4 linked regions of the Macaca mulatta genome follow. The protein of the gene in region 3 purifies or fractionates together with the protein of the main gene of each other region. This does not show direct contact. Links are inferred from orthologs where the notes say so. Each region holds a gene or a part of one and is shown on either strand. Other genes may lie near its edges.

What was found.
Region 1: the proteins of CLTC (region 3) and PTPN23 purify together in Homo sapiens (affinity purification with mass spectrometry; 3 studies listed by BioGRID and IntAct, with this or other methods). This does not show direct contact. The link is inferred for Macaca mulatta from reciprocal best matches to the Homo sapiens genes CLTC and PTPN23.
Region 2: the proteins of CLTC (region 3) and MYO6 purify together in Homo sapiens (affinity purification with western blotting; 4 studies listed by BioGRID and IntAct, with this or other methods). This does not show direct contact. The link is inferred for Macaca mulatta from reciprocal best matches to the Homo sapiens genes CLTC and MYO6.
Region 4: the proteins of CLTC (region 3) and AP2M1 purify together in Homo sapiens (affinity purification with mass spectrometry; 3 studies listed by BioGRID and IntAct, with this or other methods). This does not show direct contact. The link is inferred for Macaca mulatta from reciprocal best matches to the Homo sapiens genes CLTC and AP2M1.

What each region holds. Positions count from the first base shown.
Region 1 is NC_133407.1:110,738,304-110,742,450, reverse strand, and holds the start of PTPN23 (tyrosine-protein phosphatase non-receptor type 23), read right to left. Parts: upstream 2,860-4,147; 5' UTR 2,764-2,859; coding exon 2,680-2,763; exon of another isoform or gene 2,177-2,679; intron 1-2,176. UniProt on the Homo sapiens protein: Plays a role in sorting of endocytic ubiquitinated cargos into multivesicular bodies (MVBs) via its interaction with the ESCRT-I complex (endosomal sorting complex required for transport I), and possibly also other ESCRT complexes.
Region 2 is NC_133409.1:109,847,276-109,850,837, reverse strand, and holds part of MYO6 (unconventional myosin-VI), read left to right. Parts: intron 1-2,296; coding exon 2,297-2,387; intron 2,388-3,144; coding exon 3,145-3,295; intron 3,296-3,562. UniProt on the Homo sapiens protein: Myosins are actin-based motor molecules with ATPase activity. Unconventional myosins serve in intracellular movements. Myosin 6 is a reverse-direction motor protein that moves towards the minus-end of actin filaments.
Region 3 is NC_133421.1:50,365,005-50,369,021, reverse strand, and holds the start of CLTC (clathrin heavy chain 1), read left to right. Parts: upstream 1-1,163; 5' UTR 1,164-1,400; coding exon 1,401-1,442; intron 1,443-4,017. UniProt on the Homo sapiens protein: Clathrin is the major protein of the polyhedral coat of coated pits and vesicles. Two different adapter protein complexes link the clathrin lattice either to the plasma membrane or to the trans-Golgi network.
Region 4 is NC_133407.1:96,309,440-96,313,429, reverse strand, and holds the start of AP2M1 (AP-2 complex subunit mu), read right to left. Parts: upstream 2,815-3,990; 5' UTR 2,699-2,814; intron 710-2,698; 5' UTR 667-709; coding exon 593-666; intron 103-592; coding exon of another isoform or gene 28-102; intron 1-27.

The sequences.
Region 1 (4,147 bases), on a different chromosome or scaffold from region 3:
CCGCTCCGTGTGAGTGGTCAGAGCAGCAAAGGCTAAACTCAAACAAAAATACGTCCTAGGAGTTTGTGGGCCAAGATCTTATCCACTGCATTCCCATATATTTATGGTCACCATCTCTAAATTTCCTCTCAGCTGTCATTCAATCATTTGAGAAAGATTTTTCTGACTGCCAACTATGTAGAGGGTACACTGTTAGGCTCTGGGGAACACAGGGATACTTCTCAGGTAACGCACACTTGAACAGCGGGGTTAAAACACGGTATACATAACTGTCACCAGGGAAAGGATGAAAAGAGTTAAGGAATTAAGAGAAAAGAAAGATTAATCCAGGTAGGAAGATTAAGAAAGGCTCTGCAGAAAGGAGAGCTTAAGCTGGACCTTGAAAGTTGGATGGGAGACAAGAAAACGAATTCACAGAGATTGAAGAAGGGCACCTCACCACCCCACAGGGCAAAATGAGAGCTCTTCTAGGCAGGAGGAATTCCATGACCAAAGGCACAGAAGAGGAAACAGTATGGTAAGGAAACAACAAGTGACTGCGAACAGAATCTAGGGTACCTCTATCAGATGCACACAGTAGATGAAGAACACAGTGGGGACTCAATAAATGCTGAAAGAACTGGGATAACTCTGGAAGAACTCTAATGGAAAAGTAAAGATACTGGCTCTATTCCAAGACTCCATCTCAAAAAAAAAAAAAAAAAAAGATACTGGCTCCATTCTGTAAAATAGAAAACAGGAGTTTTGGCCTGGCGCAGTGGCTCACGCCTATAATCCCAGCACTTTAGGAGGCCGAAGCAGGTAGATCACGAGGTCAGGAGACCATCCTGGCTAACATGATGAAACCCCGTCTCTACTAAAAATACAAAAAATTAGCCGGGCGTGCTGGCGGGCGCCTGCAGTCCCAGCTACTTGGGAGGCTGAGGTAGGAGAATGGTGTGAACCCAGGAGGTGGAGCTTGCAGTGAGCCGAGATGGCGCCACTGCACTCCAGCCTGGGTGACAGATGAGACTCTGTCTCAAAAACAAAGGAAGGAAGGAAGGAAGGAAGGAAGGAAGGAGGGAGGGAGGGAGGGAGGGAAGGAAGGAGGGAAGGAAGGAAGGAAGGAAGGAAGGAAGGAAGGAAGGAAGGAAGGAAGGAAGGAAGGAAGGAAGGAAGGAAGGAAGGAAGGAAGGAAGGAAGGAAGGAAGGAAGGAAAGAAAACAGGAGTTTTGTTGTGTCTTAGAAAAATTCATCCAATTGTATTTTTATGAAAGAGCAGAAGAAGGCCTGTAATCCCAGCACTTTGGGAGGCCGAGGCAGGCGGGTCACCTGAGGTCGGGAGTTCAAGACCAGTCTGACCAACATGGCGAAACCCCGTCTCTACTAAAAATACAAAATTAGTCAGGCATGGTGGCGCATGCCTATAATCCCAGCTACTCGGGAGGATGAGGCAGGAGAATTGCTTGAACCCGGGAGGCGGGGGTTGCGGTGAGCCAAGATCGCACCACTGCACTCCAGCCTGGGCAACAAGAGCGAAACTCCGTCTCAAAAAAAAAAAAAAAAAAAAAAAAACAGCAGCAGATGAAGAGAGTAACGTATGGATAACAGTTAACAAAATTCTAGAAGTTTGGATCAATTAGCCTCATTTCCTGGGCCCAAGAGGCTAAATGATGGACTCAAACACTGTCTGAACTAAGGCAATGGTGTATGGAGAGAAGAGGGGAGATAGCTTCTTGGGAAACTACTTCAAAACCCATTTTCTTTTTCCTATTTGTTTTCCCAAGCATCTCGCTAAGTGGTGCACCATCTAGACTGGGGCTTACTCTGGCATCTGCTGTGCTATGCCCACAAGGCCCCCCACCTGCGACAGCCTCCTGGTTGTTCCTTTTCACTTCTGCTCTATCTAGCCCTCAGTGCTACCAACACAGCGGATGTCTCAGAGGGCACCTGTGTTCAATCACCATACCTGGACCTCTCCACATAAGTTCCTTGCCTTAGTCAACGCCAAACCTGCCCGTCTGTTCTTCCAACACAGTAAGATTTCTCTAAGCTCTACAACACTGTTTATGCCCTCCAGTCGGTTACGAAAAGCAGTAACCCTCTAAAAATGTCATGGGATTGTATCGTTTGGTCCAAAGAGACTCCCGAATGAGAGACCATACAGCATCGCAGCAATTTTAAAACAAACCCTCACCGCACGGGTCGGGCATCTCGCTGGGTCACCGGGGCTCACGTCTTAAACACACGCCCTGAGCCATCCCCAGCGTCTGTCCCAGGAGGGCCGTGGACTTGACAGTGCACCGAGGGCCGGGCGCAGCAGAAGAATCCGCACGGTCAGGGCCGCCCACCGCTCCCGCGCGGGGCGGTCCAGCCATGGAGGAGGGGCGGGGCAGAACTGGGTCCCGAGCGTCAGAAGGAGGAAGTGTGGTGCCTCAGTGGGAACTGCGGATGACTCGGGGCAGAAGTCGGGAAGCGGGTTCAGATGAGGATGCAGGTGCTAGCACCGGGCTATCGGGGAGAAGAATGGCCTGCGAGCCCCTGGGTGTGGGACAGGTTGAGGAACACTGGCGGAAGCCCCTCCTGGCCTCACCGGACCCTGCGACGGGGCCTGAGGTGGTGGGCGCGCAGGGGGCGTCACGCGCTGGCAGACGACGGAGATACGCGGCGGATGGGGGGGAAGACGGAAGGCAAACTCACCTTCTTAACAGCTGGTTGGAAGTGGAAGTCACCAGCCTCCTTCAGATCCAGCCAGATCATAGGCATGCGGGGCACGGCCTCCATGGCGGCTGGCGCCAGCCGGCCACCCGGCCACTCCCGTAGCTGCTGCAGCTGCTGGCTCAGCCACGAGCCCAGCCCCGCCCCTTCGCGCCGGAAGTCACTGGTCACGGGAGGGAATGAAAAATACCACCTGCCTGCCGGGAGTTGCAGTTTCCTCCCCCGCCCGCGTGGTCTTTTGCGCAGGCGCAGTCCCTGTTGCGCAGGCTCAGTCTTTTTCGCGCGGAGGGAGTAGGGCGGGGAGGAGCTCGCCAGCCCGAGGCGAAAGGGTTTCTGGGTTAATAGTCTTCCTCTGCTAAACTGAGAGGCGCGGAGCGACCTTATTCCCCGCTCCCGGGCCAAGCCCGTCTGCCGGCCCCTCCCGCCGCGCTCCTCCCTCCTAGGAAGAGCGTGAGAACTCACCTATGAACTTGCCCTCCCAAGTATTGTCAAGGGCCGTGGAGGACTGGTGCTGTGGTAGAGATGACGTGGCAGGCGGGCCGCTGGGAAGAGATGACGCGAAAACTGGCTTAAGAGAGGGTGCGGAGGGGCCACCTGGCCTGAAGGAGTCGGTGCTGAGAGCAGGGGGTTTCATTCTCGGGGCTGCGAAGGCTTTCGAGCTTTGGAACAGAAGAATGACTGACCAGAGACTGGCCTACTCAGCCCAGCCTGGGAGGCCGGGCAGTGCCCAAGGGAGACGGACGATAGGGAGGGAGCGCCTGGATGGAGCGTCTCAAGCGGAGCGAGGAGGCCCCTGGCCCTGTAGGAAAGTGGGTGGGGGAAGGTATCCGGCCAGGTGAGCTCCCAGGGAGGCCCAGAATATCTGGAAGGAGACCACGGAATGGAGAGCACCTGTTGACTCTGTAGAGAGGACCTGTAGAGCAGGAATTGTTAAATCGTATGGCTGTATCACCTACTTTTAGAAATAAATAATAGGCTACTCGGGAGGCTGAGGCTGGAGGTTCAATCGCTTGAACCCGGGAGGCGGAGGTTGCAGTGATCCTAGATCGCGCCACTGCTCTCCAGCCTGGGCGACAGAGCGAGACTCCGTCTCAAAATAATAGTAACAATAGAAACAAGTAACAGAGAATGGCCTGGAGATAGTGAGTGCAAAAGTGGGAGCTGGGAGACCAGTGAGTCTTTTGTAGTCTTCCAGGAGACAGGTGATTGTAGCAAAGCAGAGGGAAATAAAAAGTGGGCAAAGAAATATTTTGCCCACTTTGAGAAATATTTGAGGAATATTTAGGAGACAGAAGTATCAGAACTTGGAATGGATGGATGTAAGGGAATGAGGACGTCGAATATGTTTTCCAAGCTTCTGACTTGTGCAGCTGGGTGGCTGTGGGACTGTTTACTGATAAGGGAAAACGGGAAGAGCAAAGGTTCAGGTCTGTGTTAAGCTCGAGGTCAA
Region 2 (3,562 bases), on a different chromosome or scaffold from region 3:
AGCTGGCTGTCTCTCTCAGTCATTAACTATATTTTGAAATCTTGTACCATGAATAATAGGTGCTTTTTTTCTTTTAGGACATGGTTCTTCTTGGAGAATATGTTCATATTCATTTTCTTCATGAGATTGCTCTTTTTGAAATTCTTCTATGATCCCTGTGATTGTGATTTTGGGGATTTTAGATGTTAGGGATTTTAATTGAGGAATTTTGACCTTTTGGGATTTCAACATTTGAGATTATGGATTTTGGGATTAGGATTTCAAACCCCTTTGACATACTGGGCTAAGCTGCTTTTGTGTGTGGTTTGGCCAGGTCATAGCAGTTACATAGCTGGCCCAAAACAAAAGTGAGGGACAGAACATTTTGGGGTTGCCTAAGGATCTGTGGCAAACCTTTAATTGTTGGGAACTGTGTGGGAATCAGTAACTTGATTACATTTACAGTTGCCCCTCATACTCATCAGAGTACCTGAAATAGTGCTAGGCACATGAAAAGAATTCAGTAATTTTTTCCTTATTAGTAGGAAAGGAAAATTATTTTGGCCTAATGAAAAAGAATCATGCAAACAGAGATTATTTTTGAGATATTTTGTTAGACAATTGTGAACATAGATAAAAAGAGAACTATTAATATAAAAAGAAAAAAGCAGAATCTCTTTTTCCCATCATTTTCCAAATATAAATATATTACTGTAGTTTAATACGTTCAGCTTTACACATTGCATTATGATAGAAAACACATTATAATAAAATTATCTGTTACACCATTCATTTGTGGACTGTGTTCTACAGTGGTACTGAAGTCAGTCACCGGGCAGGGATCTTTGTGGAATGTTAATAGGAAGCTCTGAAAAAAAAGTTGATGGCCAGATCATCCTAGGAAATTCTGAGTAACTGAAGTTAAGTAGATTTCTTTGCTGTAGGATTCTCAGAGGCTTCACTCTGTGTGTTCATTGTGAACCTCCAAACAGAAGTGTAGTGTACGGCTTTTCATACACTCATTTGACAGGTAAATCCTTTTTTCAGGACATACCTATTCAGTATGTTGCCTAAGACAGTTTAGGAGGTAGCCGTGTAGCATAATAAGGAAATAATGCATTTAAAATGTAAGCCTAACCAGATACATGATATTGTAACTATGCAGTGGGTTCTCCTTGCCCACTACCTAGACAGAGCTGATTTATCAAGATGGGAATTGCAGTAGAGAAAGAGTAATTCACGTAGAGCTGGCTGTGTGGGAGACTGGAGTTTTATGATTACTCAAATCAGTCTCTCTGAAAACTCGGAGATCTGAGTTTTTAAGGATAATTTGGTAGGTAGGGGCTTGGGTTGGAGATGAAATCATAGGGGGTCAAAGTTGAGTTTTTCTTGCTTTCTTCCGTTCATGAGTGGGATCATAGAACTGGCTGGGCCAGATTACCTATCTGGGTGGCATCAGCTGGTGCATTGGAAGGTCTGCAAAATATCTCAAGCACTGATGTTAGGTTTTACAAATGTGATGTTATATATGGGAGCAATTTAGGGAGGTGGCTGTGTGGCTCCTAAACAGTAATTTCTAATCTTGGAGCCAATTTGTTAGTCCTGCAAAGGCTGACTGGTTCCCCAGGCAAGAAGTGGGTTTATTTTGGGAAAGGGCTATTAACGTGTTTGTTTCAAAGTTAAACTATATAAACTAAATTCCTTCCTAAGACTAGTTTGGCCCACACCCAGGAATGAACAAGGACAGCTTAGAGGTTAGAAGCAAGATGGACTTGGTTAGGTCAGATTTCTTTTACGTAATTTCCTTCATTGTAAATTTTACGCAGGTGGTTTCAATATCTTTTTATTTTAAGAAGAATAAGAAATTATAGAAATGTTAAAACTGGCTGGGCATGGTGGCTTACGCCTGTAATCCTAGCCCTTTGGGAGGCTGAGGTGGGAGAATCACTTGAGGTCACGAATTTGAGACCAACCTGGCCAACATGGCAAAACCCTGGCTCAAATAAAAATACAAAAATTAGCCTGGCATGGCGTGTGCCTGTAGTCCCACCTACTCAGGAGGCTGAGGCATGAGAATCGCTTGAACCCGGGGGGTGGAGGTTGCAGTGAGCCAAGATCATGCCATTGCACTCCAGCCTGGGTTGAGACTCTGTCAAAACGAAAACAAACAAAAAAATGTTAAAACTTTCTGTTTTTGATATCTGATATATAATACAAGATTTTATGTTTCTTGAGAATTACTTTATGAAAATGAGTTTTTAAAAATATATGTTAGATTTAAACTGAATAATTTTCTATCATTTTCTCTTACACATAGTGAAAAACAAAATAAAATATCGAGCTGAAGCCTGCATTAAAATGCAAAAAACTATTCGAATGTGGCTTTGCAAGAGGAGACACAAACCTCGGTAAGATGAATAGTCCCTAAAAAGAACTCTACAAAACCTAGTTACTGTAATACAAAATGATAATAAAGTCATAATAAAAAGCAGTTTGGATACTCAAGGAGTTTTCTCACGTTCTTCGTAAGATGATATATTAGTCTTCTATTTGTAATATTTATTTGAAATTAGTTAATTCATTTATTACCTTATTACTTGCCTCATTCTATAAAAGGATTTGAAGTGGCATACGAAAATGTGTAAAGATTATAAAACAAGAAATAAGTGTTGAGAGAAGCTCTTTTATTCCGATTATTTTAGTTATTTGAGTTTCTTGATAATGTCAAGGTGACTTTTTTTTAAAAAAACTCACTAATGTATTTACCAAAATTTTCAAGATTATCTGTAGGAATTACATTGTCCCATTATAAATTAGTCTTTATTTCTTATTTGAATCTTTCATTTTTAATTTAGACTTAAAAATTGGAAGTCTGAATATCTATTGATCCATCACACCTTTTCAAAGAGACTTAGATAACTCCTTTAAGGTCCTCTGTGATTTGAATTCTCAAAGTTGTAGAAGGCTTTAATCCTGTTGACAGGCATCAGTGTCATTCACACTCATATTTGATTTTTTAAGCCTTCAACAAAAGATCTGAAAAAGAGAATACTAGATAATATTGAAAACGGAAGTGAAATACCCTGTTTAGCATTTTATAAATGAAAAATCTGCCAAAAGTATTAAATGATGAAATTAGGCTCTAATGAAGTATTATTTTTACAGCATTGATGGCCTGGTTAAGGTGGGCACACTGAAAAAACGACTTGATAAATTTAATGAGGTAGTCAGTGTGTTGAAAGATGGAAAACCGGAGATGAATAAACAGATCAAGGATCTGGAAATTTCTATTGATGCTTTGATGGCCAAAATTAAGGTATGTAATTTTAACCCAAATGACTTTGACTTTTTACATAATTTAATATATTTTGTTACTGGTATTGAAATTGTATAGTAAAGGTCCTTAGTTTTTCAAAATTACAAAATGTGTTGAGACCCAATGATGGCAAGTAGATGCTCATCATATTACCTCTACTCTTAATGTTTGAAAAATTTCATAGCAAAAAGTTAAAGAAGATAATTTTTATGCCATTTGTTCTGTTGCTAAGAAAGATATTCCCCACAACTTTATACATAGGTGATG
Region 3 (4,017 bases):
GCCGTTGATACCTCCATGCTCTTTGAAGACATGATGCTCCGGCTTTGAAGCGCTGCATTTCTACACTGCTAACCTACAGGAACCTATGTTGAGGTGGTCCCACGGAAATGCACGACTAACAGTTCATCTCTTTCCTCCAGGAACCTTCAGGCTTTACCAAGCATCCTTACCCTAATTATCTAAATCTCTGAGACATAAATTATTTGATGTGGCTAAAAATCCTCCTGCTAGAATTTGAGTCCAATCCTTGTACGTTCTGATACTCGAATTCTTTAACGAAACTGATTACTGAGCTAGGCTGACACATGTCCGCCCGCCAAAATGTCCGCAGAAACGTTAAGAGAAGCTGTCATAAGGCCAGCTTGAGACACATCATAAATGGCCTTCGCTGTCCTTTGAGCTAATTATCTAACACCCGAAGAGAGTGCCGGTTCTAGTTAGAATCCGCGCGTCAGGTTCTCCAACCGTCAGAAGGGCGTGTGTGAGGGCAGGGAGGATTTTAAACCCCGTTTCAGGCCCCCTCCCTAGGCTGTAGGAAACCACCCACTCTGAAGCCCGGCGGGGGAGGAGTGCTGCAGCCAGCTGCCGAGGGAGCGCTCTGCGGCGAGGCCGTTTCCCTGAGTCACGGAGAGGGCGGGAGGCTGCCCCCGTCTGCCCCCGCCACGTCCTCCTGTAAGGGGCTCAGTCCAAACAGGCAGGGGTCGCAGGGGAAGGAAGCGGCACCCGTCATGCCTCAAGGTGGCCCAACAGCCACTTCACTCCCAGGAGACGCCGCATTTCCTTAAAACGCGCTCTCCATTCTGGCAGCAATCAGCCGACCCTTCCCCATCAGTATCACGTGCACCTGGAAGTACGTGGGTGGGACCTAAAGCGCCCACGGAAGTGACGTCGGTCGCTCCGAGTCGCATGATGTGGCAAAATGCAAAAAAAAAAAAAAAAAAGTGGGGGTAGAAAAAGAAGATTGGCGAAAGTGATGAGTCTAAAAAAGTAGTCCCTCCGGTTCCTCTGTTGCCCCCCGTGTGGCGTCAGAAGAGAGGCTCCGGGCGCACAGCGCCCGGAATTCCTGCACCCGCCGCACGCACCGCTCCGTGGAGGGGTACATAAGGCGGAGGGGGTGAGGCGACTGGGCGGAGTTCTGTCGCCGGGATCCTTCCGCTGGGCTCAGCCGTTTCCGGAGTCTGCGCTGCGCCCGGTTCCGCCATTGCGGCTCTCCTGGCCCGTGGAGCCTCCGCCCCCGACCCGAGCTCTTTCGTCTGCGTGCCAGTTTCCTGCGTCCCCGGAGAGGATCCTGCTGAGCCCAGCCTCCCCCCTCCCCTTCTCCTCCTCTCCCTCGGAGAGCCCGGGCAGCCACTGCCCCGCAGCCCCAGTGACAGGAGGAGACCATTCCCCCCGACAGCGCCATGGCCCAGATTCTGCCAATTCGTTTTCAGGAGCATCTCCAGGTGCGGCCGGGCCCGGGCTGGTGAGGGCTGTGGAGAAGGTGGTAGGAATAGTGGAAGAAGCTGGAGTCTGGGCCCCGAGCAGGATCGGAGCTGGAGGGGTGGGGGGGTTGTCGGTCTTTGGGGTAGGTGGAGGAGGGGGCACTATCTTAGAAAGCTTAAACTGTTAAATGATGTGGGGCTTGGATGAAAGGACAGGAGTTGGGGTGCAAAGGGCTGCAAAGACCAGGCCTGGATCCAAAGGCCTCTCGATCTTGCTTCCTGGATGGCCAGAACTGCGCGTACAAACTCTCTCCTCCCCATTTTGTTCAGTTCATTCATTTGGGTAGGGGAGTGGGAGGGGGGATTCTCTCTTGTTTCTACCAGAGCAAGGATTCTTATCCCCTGGGCCAGTGCGGGGCTGTCACCTTCCATTGCTCTCCTCTTTCCCTCTTCGTGTCTGCACCCAGGAGTTGTGGGGCGGGTGGGTTGGGGAGGAGCAACCTTTTTTTTTTCCTCCCTCTGCGGCTCTCAACTGAGAAAGGCACCTTCTCCGGTGGTGGGGGTTGGGGGTGGTGGTGAGGCGGTGGCTTGTCTCTTGCCTTCCTTGAGGCAGTAGGGACAGAAGGTCACTGAAAGAACGAAACGAGGGTAGAATGGGAGAACGCATTTCTCAGAACGATGTCAATCTCAGAGTGTGTGGGGTCGAGCTCCCTAAGGAAACTCGCCTCCCCTTCCCACTTTTTTTATTTCTTTGGGGATGTTGTGGCTCTTAACCCCTCTTTGGTTCTAGAAGGTAGGAAAGAGTGATACAGAGGTTATCTTCTAGTCTTCTCGAGTAGTAGCAGGTAGTTTTGAATATCTTCCTCAGGATCGCATGGAATTGAACAGAGCCCTGGGGACAGAGCACAGCTGCTCTGAGACCTGCGGGGCTATTTGGTCTGTAACTGGCTTCCCTTTAGTAAGTTCTAGAGTTCTTTCCCATGGTTCCTTATCCTGGAGGCAACATATTGTTGTCTCATCTGGCAGCATGCCAATCGCTGGCCTAGGCAGGTGACCATTGGAAGGCTTCACTGAATTAAACCTCTTCAGAGCTTTTGATTTTCCTGTGTCACCAATCCTGATTTTTACTGTAGCTGAAACAATTTATTCCTATTAATTTGCTTTCTTCCCAAATATCCCCTTAAAGAAACCTGCCTCAGCTCTATCGTCTGAAGGGCTAATTCCATAATGACAGAGAATGCAGTGGTTTGACATGACACTAATATCAGTGACTTATTAGACACTTTACCATTGAAGACCATTTTTATTTACATTCCCCCATTGGTATAACATACATAAAAGAGTTTTGTTAATAAAAGGTTTTAATATTCAGGCTATAAGTAACATAATTTCATATTTCTTTGCAGGTATTACCATGTTTGCACTAGCAAGGACTTATTTTCCTTTAAGGCTTGAAATGTAAAGAATAATAAATCTTTACCCATAAAATGAGTCAAATAATGCACTTTCTTCAGTCATCTATAATTTTCAAATAACTCATCTGAAGTAATGGAATATACCTTGGCATATCTTGGCATATATATATAAATATATTTATGCCAATAATAAAAACACTTTTACAGAAGGTTAAAAACGTTAAATAACAAAGTGGATTTTTTTTTAATCAATCCAAGTTTAATTGCTTTAGTTATTTTTGTTAAAGTGGGGTGGCAAATGAATGTGGAGAGTTGAGAAAGTGCTGTTCTTAAGTGTGAGGGGAAAACGCGGGCTTGTTTTCATACTAAGCTGCATCTGAAATATCTTTCTGCAGACAAATGTTTATAAACCACACAAAGAATCAAGTACAGCTGCTGTTTATTTTCCATGGCAGATGTATAGCTCACTACTAAATCTTGTGGTGGTTCGAGTAATAGCTTTTCATTTCTTTTAAAGAGGAGACAAGAATTGTTAAATGATGCCAGAGATTGGAACCCAACCTTGTCACTTATTGAAGACAAATTTAATACATGTCTGTTTTGTAACTGGCTCAGTTTCAGCAGATACTTGAATGAAGCCATTTTCTTCTCAAATAATTTGAAGATTTTGAATATAAAGCAGATTTGCAAATTGAAAATTCAGCCCTCTGTGTTTTGGATTGCTATGTCATGCCTAAAGTTAAGCTTGCTTAGCTAATATGACTGTGTGCTCCAGCTGATTAATTGCAGAGCGCAAATAACTACAGCCTCTTCCATGATAATATATCTCCTGACTTCATTATCTCCTACCTTTTGAAAAATTAATAAGGTTTTTGTTTTTTGAAGAGACAGGGTTTTTGCTGGAGGTCAGTGGCACTGTCACAGGTCACTGCAGCCTTGACCTACTGGGCTCAAGCCATCCTCCCACCTCAGCATCCTGAGTAGTTGGGACTACGGCCATGAGCCACCACACCTGGCTAATTTTTGTATTTTTTGTAGAGATGGGGCTTCACTATGTTGCCCAGGCTAGTCTCGAATTCCTGGGCTCAAGCAATCCTTTGCCTTGGCCTCCCAAAGTGCTGGGATAATAGGTGTGAACCACTGAGCCCAACTAATAAGGATTATTTTAATTGGCGTCTTAG
Region 4 (3,990 bases), on a different chromosome or scaffold from region 3:
GCCCTTTCTTAGTGACCCAGAGAGTGCCTCACGCTCCCTCCCAGCCTCTCCCCCAGGAATGGCCCAGAGGAACTGAAGACAGCTGAGTCAGCAGCCTGACTCCTGAGAAAGGGAGCAGGAGAGGATTGGGTAGCCTGGAGAGGCTTTCAATAGAATCCAGTGAAGGCGCTTGATATGAGAAGGGCTTCTCAGAGCAAGGCTTAGATGGATTAGTGTCTCCAGCCTGGCCACTAACCCCACCCACTAGAGATATTTCTCCTTCTCCTCAAAGAAGAAATTCACCAGCCTGGGCAAAGGCACTCATCTCCAGCAACCAGGCCTGTATAGAGAAACAGGATGCAGGAAGGGCAGGCGTTCCTAAAGCTGTGGGACCATGCCATTCCACGGGTCCCACCTAGGGGCCAGCAGGCTGGCTGCCGGGTGAATACCACCAGACCTAATGGGAGCCAGGCTACACTAGCTGAGCTTCCAGGGTGCAGCCAGGGGTCAGGGTGGTCCAAGTCAAGCCTCTGGTGAGAAGAGACCTAATCCTGCATGCTGGGGCTCGGGGGCTGGAGTGGTGGGGCACAGCTGGCTCTGCCAGAGGACTCACCCGATGTCATCTCGGTAGACTCGAGAGATGAGCACCTCCCCCTTGTGATTATAGATGAATAAGCCTCCAATCATGGCGGCAGATCAGTCTCCGCGGCCCATTGCTCTGAGAACAGACCTAGGACAGGCGGGGGCGGGGTAAAAGAAGACCTCAGAATCCCTGCCAACATCCCCTGTGGAGCTGTGCAGATCACTGGAGCTTTTTTCCTGACTCAACCCTTTAGCAAGTGACCCTGCAGCCCTCCCAGACATGCCCCTCCCCTCAGCTAGGCTCCAGTTCCTGTTTATTCCACACTGGATGGGAGAAAGAAACTGAGAGAGATTAGGCTCAGGACTCTAAGGCCATTTTGACCCTCCGTTTCCTGGGGCTGAGCATCAGCAACCCCGCCCCCTCTCTCCAGCACTGAGCTCAGGAATGATCCTTTTCGGCCTCCTCCTGTGCAGACTCTCAGGCTCCGGCCAGTGAGTCACTAAGGCCTGCCTGCCTGCTGCTGCAGGAATGGCGGTAGGAATTACTCCAGTTGGTTCAGGCCTGGGGCCCCCAGGCATAACCTTTAGAGCATCCAGTCTCTCGGGCTCCACTACCCTTCAGAGAAGGTCGCAGGGCCTGAACTTCCGGCACTCTAATTCACAGAATTCAAACATTCCAAGAAAGGGTGTGAGGAGAAGAGAAGGGAGCCCTTAGGCCCTAATGTGGACCCGGGAGTGTGGCTTAACCTCTTCCAGGCAGTGGAATAAGCAGGCAAAGGGCAAAGGAGGAAGGTCCTAGTGCTGGCAGACTACACCTCCATCACCTAAGCTGCTTATTACAGTTATTTCTGACTACCACCCCCCTTTCAAAAAGCTCTGGAATGCAATAAAAGTAAGGACTGGGGGGGTGGGGGTAGTGCAGGCTCATAAAATTAAGAAATCCTTCCATCTGAAATCGTGATTCCAGGCCCATCAAGTAACTCATTTCTGGCCTGGGTGCCTATAAACAAGAAGCAGGGATTTCAGGATGCCTGAATTATCCAAATTATTTGGGTCAAATTAATTTAGACTGCTTGAGAAAAGGCATTAATTTGCTTTTAGATTTCCTGGATTAGCTCTGGTATTAATTTCACAGGGAGTACTTTAGAAGACTTTTCTAAACTGGAAAATAAAGCCTTTTCCTGTGGCTGTCAAGGTCTTCCAGAGGGGTGAGCGGCCTCTCAAGGTGGTGGACTCATCCCATTCCTCAGTCCCAAACAGGCTGGTAGAGGAGATGCAAAATGGAGGTAGAGCCTGGGGCAAAGAACCAAGTCCACAGGTATATCGAGTGGTAGGTAGGGAAGGGCACCCGAGAACCAGAGGTGGGGCCTTGGGCAGGAATGGAACATTTAGTTAAGGGTAAAGACCGGCAGTGACAGCCAGGCAGCGTCCTCAGGTGAGCCCACAGCAGCAAACTGGGCTGGTGGAGTGCACCTAAAGGTAAGGGTTTCCAGTATGGAAAAGGTCAAGGCTTTAAGAAGGAAAAACCAGCAGGGGGAAATTGACGGTAGTGAATAAGGGAAAGCTGGGGAGACAGAGCCTGCTTGGGGTTCAGGTGCAGAGTAATGAGGGGGTGGTGGGCTTTTCGCCTTGGGGAGACATCGTGGGAAAAGATGGTGCCATGGGGCGCGGGGGCCGTCACAGGTCTAAGGAAGAAGAGCCGCGGGATGTCACTGAACTGAGAGGAGGGGGGGCCGCATGGTGTGAGATCTGTCACGGTGCAAGGAGGCGGAACAAGGGGGTGTCACTGTCCTACGAGACGGGGAAATTGTCCTTGCGCGGAGGGGTAGGGGGTTGGCACTATCCTAGGGAGGGGGCGCTGCGCAGCGTTCCTGCTCTGGGAGAATTTCAGGCGGTATCCCTCTCATGGGAGGCGCCAGGCGGGTCAGGTGGAGGGCACCGCTCCCAGCCAGCCCTGCAACCTCGCCCCGGGCGCCCCCGCCCCACCGTCAGCCAGCTCCCGGGTCTGAAGGCTGAAGCCACTCCCGGGTGTGGGCAGCTTTCTGCCAGCTCAGCGCAGGGCAGGACAAAGCTGGGCGGCGAAGCAGACGACCCGCGGCGTCCTCCCCCACGCCATAAGGCCAGATCCCCGGCTCACCTGGTGTCCCGAGGCCCCTTCTCTGCCGGCCCGGCCACTCTCCGGATCCCAAGATGTCCGCCCGCCCCCTGCTCGTCTGCCCGCTGCCTCGGCTTTCACCGCAGTGCCGCGGCCCCGCCCCGGTCCCGGCTGCGCGTGCGCGCCCGCCTCTCGCGCCGACTACAAATCCCGTCAGGCCTCGCGGCCTCCTTGCTTGCTATTTGAAGCGCTCTAGGTTTAGCAAAACTACAACTACCGACTGCTTTCGAGAAACCGTCCCTGCCTCAGGAAGGGGTAGGCGTGGCCTTAGCCGGCCCTACCAGAAATACACATTCCAGCATACACCGCTCCACCGGCCTCATTTTTTTTTTTTTTTTTCACTGAGCGCTCTGGGAATTGTAGTCCCTGCACTTCCTCCTGTTCCTATTTGTGTTTTGGAGTTTTGGAATATTAATGCCATTTGTAGAAGCACATCTGTTAAGCCTGGGATTGCTGTAGGCCTTTTCTGTTTCCAGAGTCCCAGGACTGGCTGTCCTCACTTTGCACACAAATAAATACAACTTGGCAGTATAAGTGTTTGTGCTGAATTTACTGCTTTCTAACACTACCTCTGATTCTCCCAAGCTTTTCTCATATATTTATTCCGGACATGGGCTTTTTCCAAGGGATCAAGACCCAAGGAGAGGAGCGGGGAGCAAAGAGGAGACCACTCGGGAAGAAACTAAACCTTTTCACAAATATGTCCATGACTGTACACTCTTCCTCGAGGTCAGCTACAGCTTTTCATGAATGAGCCGATGTTCTCCTTAGCTATACCTATGCGATTGTGCATGCCTTCTAGTGACAGGCATATATGTTGCTTAGAAGATGTTCAAAGAGTTGAATTCAGTTTGACATGGGATTTGAAATCCCTTCTTTGATAAACAGAATCTTTACATCCAAGCTGAGGAGACAGAGCCAACCCTCAAACATTAAAGGCCTGCTTGGTTCTTGCAGAGATAAACTGCTGCCTTCTTTGGGCAGGACTGTGCCTGTCATGGGAGGAAGGAAGGGTGAGAAAGGGCAGATCTGGTTGCAAATGTTACAGTCCTTCCCAGCCTCTGGCCAGAAGCCACGATGTGGCAGGATGAAGATCTGACCCCTCTCAAATCATAGTCAAGGTCTGAAGTCATTAAGTGACTGAATACAGGCACTTCTAATTTTTGAACCAGCACTCAAGGCTTCACTCCTACCTTTGCAAAAGCTTTATCTTCCAAAAATACCCTAAACTGCTACCAATTTAGAGTAAATAATAATAATGATAAAATAATAAT